2 linked regions of the Arabidopsis thaliana genome follow. The protein of the gene in region 2 interacts with the protein of the main gene of each other region in a pairwise test. Each region holds a gene or a part of one and is shown on either strand. Other genes may lie near its edges.

Region 1 (6,879 bases), on a different chromosome or scaffold from region 2:
TTTTAATTAGGGCATATATATATTTATGTACGTATGTGTCAATATATAGTTACGATGATGCATGTGGGAGGCAGATTGGGAGAAAGAAAAGCAAAAGCATTAGCATAGGGAAACTAACGAATTTTGTATAACTCCAAGGGATTTTCTCTTCTCCCCTAAAGTTCTATTCTCTAATTAATTACTGTAAAAATTCTCTTCTTTATTTCATTTTTGTCAGATTATTGTTAATTTGTTTTTTTTGTTTGTTCCTCTGAATTTCGTTCTATTTTCTCGAATTTCGATGTTACTTTGCCTTCTCCAGATTACTCTTTTTCTTGGAAATACTTGCTTTTGCCAAAGAAGGTTAATGTGTTTTTCTTTTCATATTTTGTTGTTTTGGTCGATAGTGTTCTCACAGTTTGATTGGCAGTTGATTTCGATTCCTTTGCATCACAATCAATATTAAAGTAAGCATATCCAGTTATTATACCAAAAAAAGAAAAAGAATGTTTTGTTTTGTTTTTATCCAAGACCTTGCGAATACAAGACAAAGAAGAGAATGATGTTGTTGAGAATAGTTTTACATAAGGTTATCAGATTAAACTAGCAAGGATATTATCTTTAATATATACAAAAAAAGTGACGAAACTTTTTATACATAGTTTCAAATAACACGAAGTTGCCCAAATATATTCAAACAACGCAATATCTTCAAAACAAAATACGTATACAAGAATGTGGACTATCACAAAAAAAAGCCAGTAAAATTCGTATATCATGAAAATTTGTATGATCTACGAACATGTTACTCCATAAGGTATTAGTGCTTGGTATTTGCCTGCAATCACTGAGATATGGCATGAACAATGGACGACATATAATGTGTAGAAACACTAGCTGCTCTCATATGAGGAGACGAGAGGTAAAAAGGCTACCAAAGAAAAACAGAACCACAGTTTGAAGACTGATAAACAGAGTTGCCAAAACGTATTATAAGGTTTTATATATGTTACAAACAGAATAATCCAGAAACAGCAGCAACATTTTGTAATTTCTCTATCTATACAAAAGTTAAAGTTGCCACTCCAGCAAAAGGAGTAAAAGAAGGCACAAATTCTGCAAAGAAGCCAATCTTGTCATAACTTGCTAGGGATCACATCACGGGAAAGCTTGGTCGGCTTTACAAACATGTCTTGGGTCTCTGCAATGAACTTGGCAAACTGAGATCCTTTCGTTTGTTTGTTATTACCATCTTTGAGTAACTTAGGCAGATTGGGTAGAGACTGCTCAGTCTTTGGTGATAGTGATGGCATCAAAGCCCAAATGGATGAGAGTTCTTCGCTAGGTTGATCAAGTGTTTGAAGGATCGTTGTGTTCTGCATATCTGTTTTAAGACGGGAACAATAATAAGCAAACACTTTTTGACACATCTACTCTCTATTCTGCTTCCATAAGTGAAACAAACCAACAAGATTAGACAAACCTTCTGCAAACTTGAAGATTGGTGCCAAGACTGCACATGGGATGCTGAAGTTGAGATGCGGTATAACAGTCCCCGCTCCATGTCTTGCGTTGCTGCAGATACAGAAAACATAGCAATGAACAATCAACTACATATCATCATGATTAAAGAAGAACTGTCCGTTTCTAATGACACATCTCATCAATGGATCTAAAAGACCTACGTATTGTATTTGAGAATGATTTTCGGTTACCTGGTAACAAGTCCAATCATATGGCCACTTGAATTGAGAACAGCACCACCACTGCCACCAGGATGCACAGCAGCTGTTGTTTCGAGCATAGCGGGGAACTCTGCGACTTCTTGAGAAATGGATTGCGTATTCAATCTCCTCTTTGCGTGAACTACCTTTGCTACAACTCCAGAACAAATAGAAGGAGAAAGCCCTAATAACAAACACAGAAGAATAGAGAGGATCATTTATTTCTTCCATTTAAGGACACTTGGCACATGTAAGGCACAAGAGAATGTAATTTCAGGGTGTGCAAAGAAATCTATGCAAGATTATGGAAGCACAACATAAGCAAGAATTGAGCAAAAATCTGATTCAACAAGACAATTCTAGGATTAACGGAGTCTTTACCACATCTTGGTCCGAAGAGTCCATGTCCAACAACATGCGCTGTTGTACCCAAAGGAGGAGAAGAAAAATTGGCAGTAATAGGTTGGAGCTTTCCAGGGACATATTCTAGCTGCAGTAAGGCAATATCTAATTGTTCCTTGCAAATATAGACCACGTTTGCAGGACACCAAGTCCAAGAATCTAGGTGACACAAACGCACACGTATGTCTCTATGCCCAGTCTGAAGGAAATTGTGTTTGTATTCCCTGATGTTCTCTCCAACAGACGAATAATGATTTCGTGGAGCTTTCCGTGGCAATGTTTGACTCTTCTGTTCCCAAAATTTACTTCCCGTGGAAGAAAATTCCTCGGCTCCTAAGACATAGGGTTTAAATCCTTCACCATATACACCACCTTTTCCATACCTCCACGGCTCAAGCAGGTGAGCATTTGTTAGTATGAGACCATGTTCGTTAAGAATAATACCAGAAGCCCAAACACCATCATTGACCGTAATAAGACAAACTGATTCCATCGCCTTCTCAATAGCCACTTGTGCAGGAATACTAGCATCTGATTTAACACTTAGGACTTCGCTCCCCCACTGACTTGCTTTTCCTTCTACAGATGGTTCCTCAAGCAGCAAGTGGCTGCAAGCAGTTGTGATTGCTCCCCATGGAACCACCAGCTGCTACCGAAGGCTACAGTTTTGCATGAAACATTACAATAAAACTTCAATGGACATAAAGGAAATGAGGCTGCCGTTGACAAACCTGAATTTCAACGCCGCTATTCTTTTGCCTTAGTGGTCTAATCAAAATGCCAATTAAGTGCCCATTCTTAGCAAACACCGGAGCCCCTTCCATTCCTGAAAGAAATTGAACCGGAACGGAACATGTTTTAGCTCTTAAGATGAAACAAATAGAGCATATATAAGAACTATTGATAATCGTACATACCAGGGAGACATCGAACATCAGCTATCATCAGTGACTTCTTTAGGGATCCAGAAGGATAGCTATTCGCAATGGAACCAGTTGATACGCTGTTTCAAACCAGTTTAGATTCCCGGAGTTAAATGCTGACACTATCAAGAGAAAGGAAATCATGATGACCTCTAGTCGATTAAAATACAGTAACGCTAGTGTAGCCATAATTCACCTGTTAAAAAAGTTAACAGGTGAAAGGATTCCAAAGGGAGAGCCTAGTGCTACAAGTGTATCACCCTTGCTACTTGATGAAGCAAAATTCATGCTTGGTTGACCCTGATTTACAAAATATTTGCGTCACAAAGATGAACCATAAATCAGAAAGAAGGAAACGGGGAGGAAAATCAGGGAAATATTTACCAGTAAACTTAAGGGGACTCCTAGAATAGCCATTCGAGTGGCAGACTTGGCCATGAAGTTAGCGTTGTGTGGCTCATCAAGTTGCATCAAGGGCTTGCTGTAATGTTCAATCTAGAAAAATGATACTTAATCTCAGAAATAGACAGATATCTTTCATTTCAAAGAAGGAAATACAAACACGCATCAACTACTCAAGCAATTTCAGGTAGGAGTTCAAACCAAAGACCATCAAAGAGTATTACAGGTTTGCATTTGACTTACATTGATTGAAGGCTGAGAACCATTAGCAGCAGAAACCAAAGACCAACCAATATCCCATCCAGAATCTTTCGAACCAGAAGAAGCTTCAATAAGAGATTGAAGTGCAGCAGAAGATACAGGGACATCAACCTTGTAACATATTAGTTAAAAATCAGCAGCGAACAGAATTTTATATGCCATAAAAAGGGAGCTACAACATATGCCATAAGAAGTGCATATCACACATCTTGTAAACTCAATTTAGTGGCTTCATAAATCATCACCACAGGGAGGTATCAACAGTCACTTCTAATAGCAAGAAAGAAGAGGAATTGCATCCGTACCAGCGAAAGAAGTTGCGCAGGAACCCAAAAAGGAGCTTCCTTTTCTGACTTTAGCTGACCCTGAAAAGAATACGCATCTAGATCACACCTTAAAAACTCCAAACAACTTACCATTCAACATAAACTATTCATAAACACTATCTGTATACCTCCACCATAATCTCAATCATAGCACCCGGAATAAGCTTCACCGGATCCTTTACAAAAAAAAAACAGACATCAAGATTGAAGAAGTAGCACATCAAGCAAAAACATGTATCATTGATATTGAAGTGGAGCATGTGTATCTAACCTGAGAGATACTACTACTAGTTCTGTGACCTAATGTTAAGAATGGCTCAACAACAGATGCAACGGTCAAAACCAGGGCCATGTCCTGACCAGCTTCAAACAGAACCTTAGCAGCGACCTCACCACTCAAAAAAATATCTCTTGGAAGCAAGATCCCAGAAGCTGAAAGTGTTGCATTGCCAGAACTTCAATAACAAAATTACAGCCACATTAAGTTCCATGATAGAAACAAAACTAAAGCATATAATACATGTAAAAAAAGTCATCTTGTGCTCACTGGTATTGATGAAAAGCATGCTTCCTCATCTTCAATCCCTTTGGATCCTAAAATTGAAACCAAGTATGATTAACACTTTGTACTCGATCATGTGTAAAGTAGATAAATTTATGGATAGAATCTCAAAACAAGAATTGGGTAAAGAGAGATCAGGGCTTACAGGGCCTTCGACTTTGACCAAGACGGCGAAATTCCGGGAAAAGCTGACAACTTTAGACACATCCATGATCGAAAGAGAAGGGATTTTTAATCGGAGAAGGTGGATTTGGATTCTGTATAGCAGACACCAAAATTGTTCGAAGTTTGGATCTTTTAAGTTTTTGGGCAACGAAGATAATAATAAGCTAATCACAACATTCACGGAAATGGCGGCTACGGTTTGGCTAGGATTGGGCAATTGAAGTCTTCGGGTGGGTTCGGTTCGGTTCTCCGAACCAAACGGTAATTAGGTGATAATGTGATATGGTTCGGTCTTCAATTTCTTTCAGAACTCGTTTGGTTACCACTATTAAAAATATTTCAGTTCAACTACAATTATTATACCTTTTGTTTTGATTAGTGTTTCATATTTTTGCAGTATATTTTTTTTCTCTTGTAAGCTACATGAATAAATTTTCTTAATCTAATATTGGTTTTTGAGAAACTTTATATCAGTACATGTTTGAAAAAAAAAAAAACTCTTTGAAACCAAGTCCGGTAGTACAAGAGAGAAAAGTCTCCACCACCTGGATTCGAGTAGTATTAGCCACCGAGGTTCGATCGCCCATCCCAAAAAGAAGATAGAGCTTAGATCGTCGGAGAAAAATTATGGTAAACTTATCATGAAATACTTACAAACTTCGGTTTGTTGTATGAGCTAACTTGTTTTCCAGTGTTCTCTATTATGTATGACTTGGAAAAAGTGTATCGATACTTAGGGAAGTCCGTCAACGTGCACACTAGTTCATATATTACATAGCATGTAAACAGGACCGGTCATGAGCATAACCAGATGAAGCATTTGTTATGGCCCCTAAAATTTTTGGGGGCTTTTATAGATATAAGCATATTTTGGGCCAGAAACTCTAAAATAGACACATTTTAGTTGGGCTTATAAAAAGGGAATTTTTTTTGTTTGTGAAATGACAATCTTCTCCTCAATTTGTTGATGAAATATCACTTTGTCTTCTTCTGTTTTTAAACTCCACACTCCTTCAAAATCACCACTTTCAACTCCATCAATATCGTTTCCTTCACTTCCGACGACTCACAATACAATTCTTTCATCAACCTCCTCTGATGAACTCTATGGAACTAATTAAACGATTGTTAATGCAAGGAATCTAAACCCTAAGAGGATAACATTTAGGGAACCCAAATATTCTAATTTTAGATGCAGATCGAATCAATTAATCTTTAATTCATCTATAATTCGAAACCGAATCTAATTGTTAGTGTCGATGAAGCTTACCATCGTCGTCGCGGTTCGTAACACATGATCTTGAAAGGGGAAATCAATTTCAAAGGCGGGTCGATTTGGCCTTCAAACTGCAACTTTCAAATCTCAAATTGGAGTTTGGAAATCAAATTCATGAAACCTTTGGCCTGGTTTTGGGGAAAAAAGAAAAAAAATGATAGATTGAAATGTTTATGGCGTTCTTTGAACGATAACAATCACGGGTTGTTCTTCTTCATTGGTTGTGTATGTTTCGAATTCTGGGTTTTGGATTTCCTTTTGTTAGTGTATATGAGAGACATGATCTCTTTGTTCAAAAAAAAAAAAAGACATGATGTCTTATTGTTTAATTGGTTTGAAGGATCTTGTTTTAGCTTTTCTGAAGAAGAGGGTAAAACAGTCTTGAGAATTCAGTATAAGTACTCAATCCCATAAGCTATTAAAAAAGCCTTTATCTTATAATGTCCATCACTTAATTGTGCCGATCCCATAATTGATCCAAAATTTCTGACGTTTTTTGTTTATAAAATATGTCCCCAATTTTATTTTACTTTTGTAAAAAGGCCTCCAATTTTATAACTTTCTATAAAACTCTTAAAACGTATTTAGGCCCCAAATTTCAGGGTAGGCTATGCATGCAATGATTCGTTTTTTTGTATATTTTTATACCATATATTAGCTATTCAAACACATCTTAAATATTATTAAGTAAAAAATTTGATATGCTATTTTAACATATTTTAAAAAAATATATGGTGCAAAACGAAACACGTAATAACATTAATTGGGATAATAATAAAAAGGTATATAATTAATTCTTTCTTTTGACTTTATTTCAACAAGGAAAAAATAATTTAAGAGTTAAACAAAATTCTTTCAA
Region 2 (3,470 bases):
TATCCACAATCACAGTTCCTCCTCCCGTAAATCGTTTAATCACCGGTATTCGATCTTCCATAACTGGTCCAACCTCAAGAAGCTGAGAAGGCTTCCTATAAACAACAACACACAAAAGTTAACATTTTGCGCAAACGATTTCGAATAGAATTGATGAAAAGATGATTCATTCTTTACCCTGACATTCCCATCACAATGGTAGGAACATTGGTTCCATCATTAACAATGCACCAATTATCAGAAGATGTTCTAAGAAGCCTTTCTTCTAAATGAAGTTGCTCCAAAATTGGTGTACCTTTAAGTCTAACCAAATTCATCAACGGAAGTCTCAAATCCTTTGCTCTACTTAAACTCATCTTAACCTGAGCCCTTCATCAAAACAGAGACTTTTCAATTTCTACAAATAACCAAACTTTAATCTCGTTCTTCAAAAACCCACAAAGACCCTGGACACTAAAACCAGACAAATCTCGAAATTTCGAATCTTTGGTCGGATTTGTGTTATCAAATCTCGATTCCAATAAGAAGAGAAGCTTACCTGAAATCAGATTCCGGTGACGGTACGATCTCCGACTTCAATGGAACTGGAGAATTCTGTATTACAGCTGTGAAAGCCTCTAGCTTGACCAGAAGCTTTATCGGTTTCTCGAAAAAACCCTTATGCGCGCAAGGTGTTCGATGTAATGCCACAAAGAGAATGTGTTTTATAAAGATCGATAGTTATTAGATTTATGAATAGATTGATACCCAGTTTAGGAATCAAGCATATATGATTAGAGAATTAATTATCTGATTAGTTTTTATCTTAAACACACGAAAACACTTTGTGCATGGAAAGTGTTCGATTAAATACCACAAAGAGACATGGTTTAATGAAGTATTAACATTAGATTAAAGAATGAATGTCATTACAAAACTTTTTGGTTCAATAAAAGCTAGTCTCCATGAATTTAACAAACTCGTTAAAATCGATTTTTCCATCTTTGTTCCCATCTAATGACCTAATCATTACCAAACAATTGTCTAAGTAAGATCCTTGTTTAAACCCTAAGATTGTCAAAACTCTCTGTAACTCTATAGCATCAATGAAACCATCTTTGTTTTCGTCAAACACATCAAAAGCTTGTTTGACTTCTTCCAAACTCGCTTCTTTCTCTTCGAACAAACTCGAGACTTCTTTTGCACTGTATTGTTCTTGAAGCTGATCATCGTTGTAAAAAAGCCCTAAGCTTCTCATAACCATCTCTGCCTCTTCTCTAGAAATATCAATATCATCATCATCATCATCATCATCATCATCATCATCATCATCATCATCTTCTTGTTTGGTCAAAGTCTCTTGTTGGTCTTTGTTGTTCTTTTTGTCGAAAACGCGTTGATGATGTTGAAGAAGAGGGACGAATCTTGATAAAAAGATACGTGTAGAAGAAACCCATCTGCAAAAACTTATGAGGAAAAAATTGAACAGAGCAAACAAAGGTAGAGAAGAAGAAGAAGATTTCGACTCCATGGTTATGTTTTGTTATGAATGATATATAGAATTTGTGTTTGTTTGTTGATATATATACAAGATTTGAGATTTTCAAGTGTTGGTGCAAGGAAAGTGGTAGGGCAAGTAGAGACAAAAGACAGAGTCCTTGTTTGAAAAGAAATTGGAAATAGGAAGTTTCTTTAGTTTCTTCTTAACGTTGTTGGAATTGTTAAGAGTTTTTTTGGTCTTATTTGGAGGAAAGTTTGGTCGGCTTGACGTGTTTTTTATTTATTTAGTTATTAATAACTAAGATATTTTGTATGTCTTCATTGGTTGGATATATTATTGTGTTAAATAATATAGACTTTTGTTATTTCGAATTCAAATATCTTATTTATTAAATGGAAAACTTGAGAGACCAAGACTTTGAATTGACTGAAGACTTTTTGACTTTTTGTACATTTATTTCAATCCTAATTTGACTGGGCTTATGAACGTAGTTAGATGATAACTAGGTTAGAAATCGCGGGTTGCATGAAATTAAATGTATGCTTATTATACTGATTTAATTAGTTTAGTTAAAATACATAGACAAATTGAAAATACATAAGTGGATCATCTATAAAATTATTTTATTTTTGAAATATTTTGTTTCTCAAATTAGATATATGAATTCAACTAGTGATTAGTGAAAATATGGTTGTAAACGTTGTAGTGGTAATGAACAACATGATTTCATGGTCAAATATAATAGTATTTTAGATAAAATGTTCAATCTATATCGGCCATGATATTAACAGATCAAATACAAAAAGAATGTGAACCTAATTCCTATTCATGCATAACATTATTATTGCGATTTCAAAACTCTAATTGACGGCTGGCGTTTTTTTTTTTTTATATGTCAATATTGTTATAACCATCATTTTTTTTCTTAAAACTTAGAATGCTTTAAATCCATCATTTATCTGAGTTCTTATACAAAAAGTATGGCTGGGCGTTCGAGTATTGCTATCGGTTCTGATTCGGTTTCATTCGGTTCCAGCTATTAGATTTTTTTTTAAATTTTGGTTCGGTTTTGGTTGTTCCAGTTCTGAAATTTTATGATTTATTAAAGTATTTTCTTTTGAATAGTTCTAATATGTTTTGTTTTTTGGTGTCTTAAGTCTTTCGTTTAGTTTTCGTTTGAATCATTTGTCGTATTGCAGTTTTTTTTACGTTTTTTTTTCTCTTGTTTTAATTTGAGTCTATTACATATACTAGGTGTTTGTGAGAGATTTGGATGTTTTGATGCGTTATTGGACTTGTTTGGCCTAAAACGATCGATCAGGAGTTTGTAGATCAAAATGTGTTGGTGACCAGTAGTCGTAGATCGATTGATCCGAAAAGTGACAACGAGACGAAGAGTACCATCAATAGTTAGGGATCGATCAATGAAGTTTTATATTAAAAAAAAAAGAAAAAGAAGCTATATTTTAGAATAATTGATGTAACATATTTTATAGTAGCAATTAAAAACATTCACACTAAATTACCGGATAACTAACTATTAAAAACTAACAGAAATTAAGCATAAATATATGGATTGGTTAGCTATGTACCAGCACGTTTTGATGATAGATGCATGTAAAGAACTTAGTTAAACAAACCTACACAAAGTGGTAAAATAAATTACATGAGATTGTAAACAATGGGTTGAAAAATCAAACAACTCAATAGAAGAGTTTTAGATGGGTTCTATTATAGAGATTTGACATTAGAGTGACGATTTTATCTGGACAAATTATGGGTAAACCCATTCTTAATGCTGCTTACACAGTCGACCCAAAGATATTTATTTAAGTATTTTGAAGCAAATTTCGTTAAGCTTTCATCCTTATTGTTGTTTTCTTTTCTGAATCCTTTTGGATGTTTAAATCATTACCACAGCCTATATTAGTTTTCATGGAAACCTTTTATGTTGAATGCTTTTTGGTATGCGGAAGTAGTGGTTGCAGAA

What was found.
Region 1: the proteins of AT3G29000 (region 2) and DEG15 interact in a two-hybrid assay, tested with the Arabidopsis thaliana proteins (one study listed by BioGRID).

Annotation. Positions count from the first base shown.
Region 1 is NC_003070.9:9,919,558-9,926,436, forward strand, and holds DEG15 (protease-like protein), read right to left. Parts: upstream 4,932-6,879; 5' UTR 4,791-4,931; coding exon 4,725-4,790; intron 4,612-4,724; coding exon 4,565-4,611; intron 4,473-4,564; coding exon 4,289-4,472; intron 4,194-4,288; coding exon 4,146-4,193; intron 4,057-4,145; coding exon 3,997-4,056; intron 3,803-3,996; coding exon 3,674-3,802; intron 3,524-3,673; coding exon 3,413-3,523; intron 3,329-3,412; coding exon 3,225-3,328; intron 3,109-3,224; coding exon 3,023-3,108; intron 2,932-3,022; coding exon 2,837-2,931; intron 2,752-2,836; coding exon 2,085-2,751; intron 1,888-2,084; coding exon 1,695-1,887; intron 1,555-1,694; coding exon 1,463-1,554; intron 1,364-1,462; coding exon 1,116-1,363; 3' UTR 662-1,115; downstream 1-661.
Region 2 is NC_003074.8:11,003,831-11,007,300, reverse strand, and holds AT3G29000 (Calcium-binding EF-hand family protein), read right to left. Parts: upstream 1,664-3,470; 5' UTR 1,511-1,663; coding exon 926-1,510; 3' UTR 787-925; downstream 1-786. Other genes in the region: AT3G29010 (Biotin/lipoate A/B protein ligase family), read right to left, coding at 1-95, 178-356. UniProt on the Arabidopsis thaliana protein: Potential calcium sensor.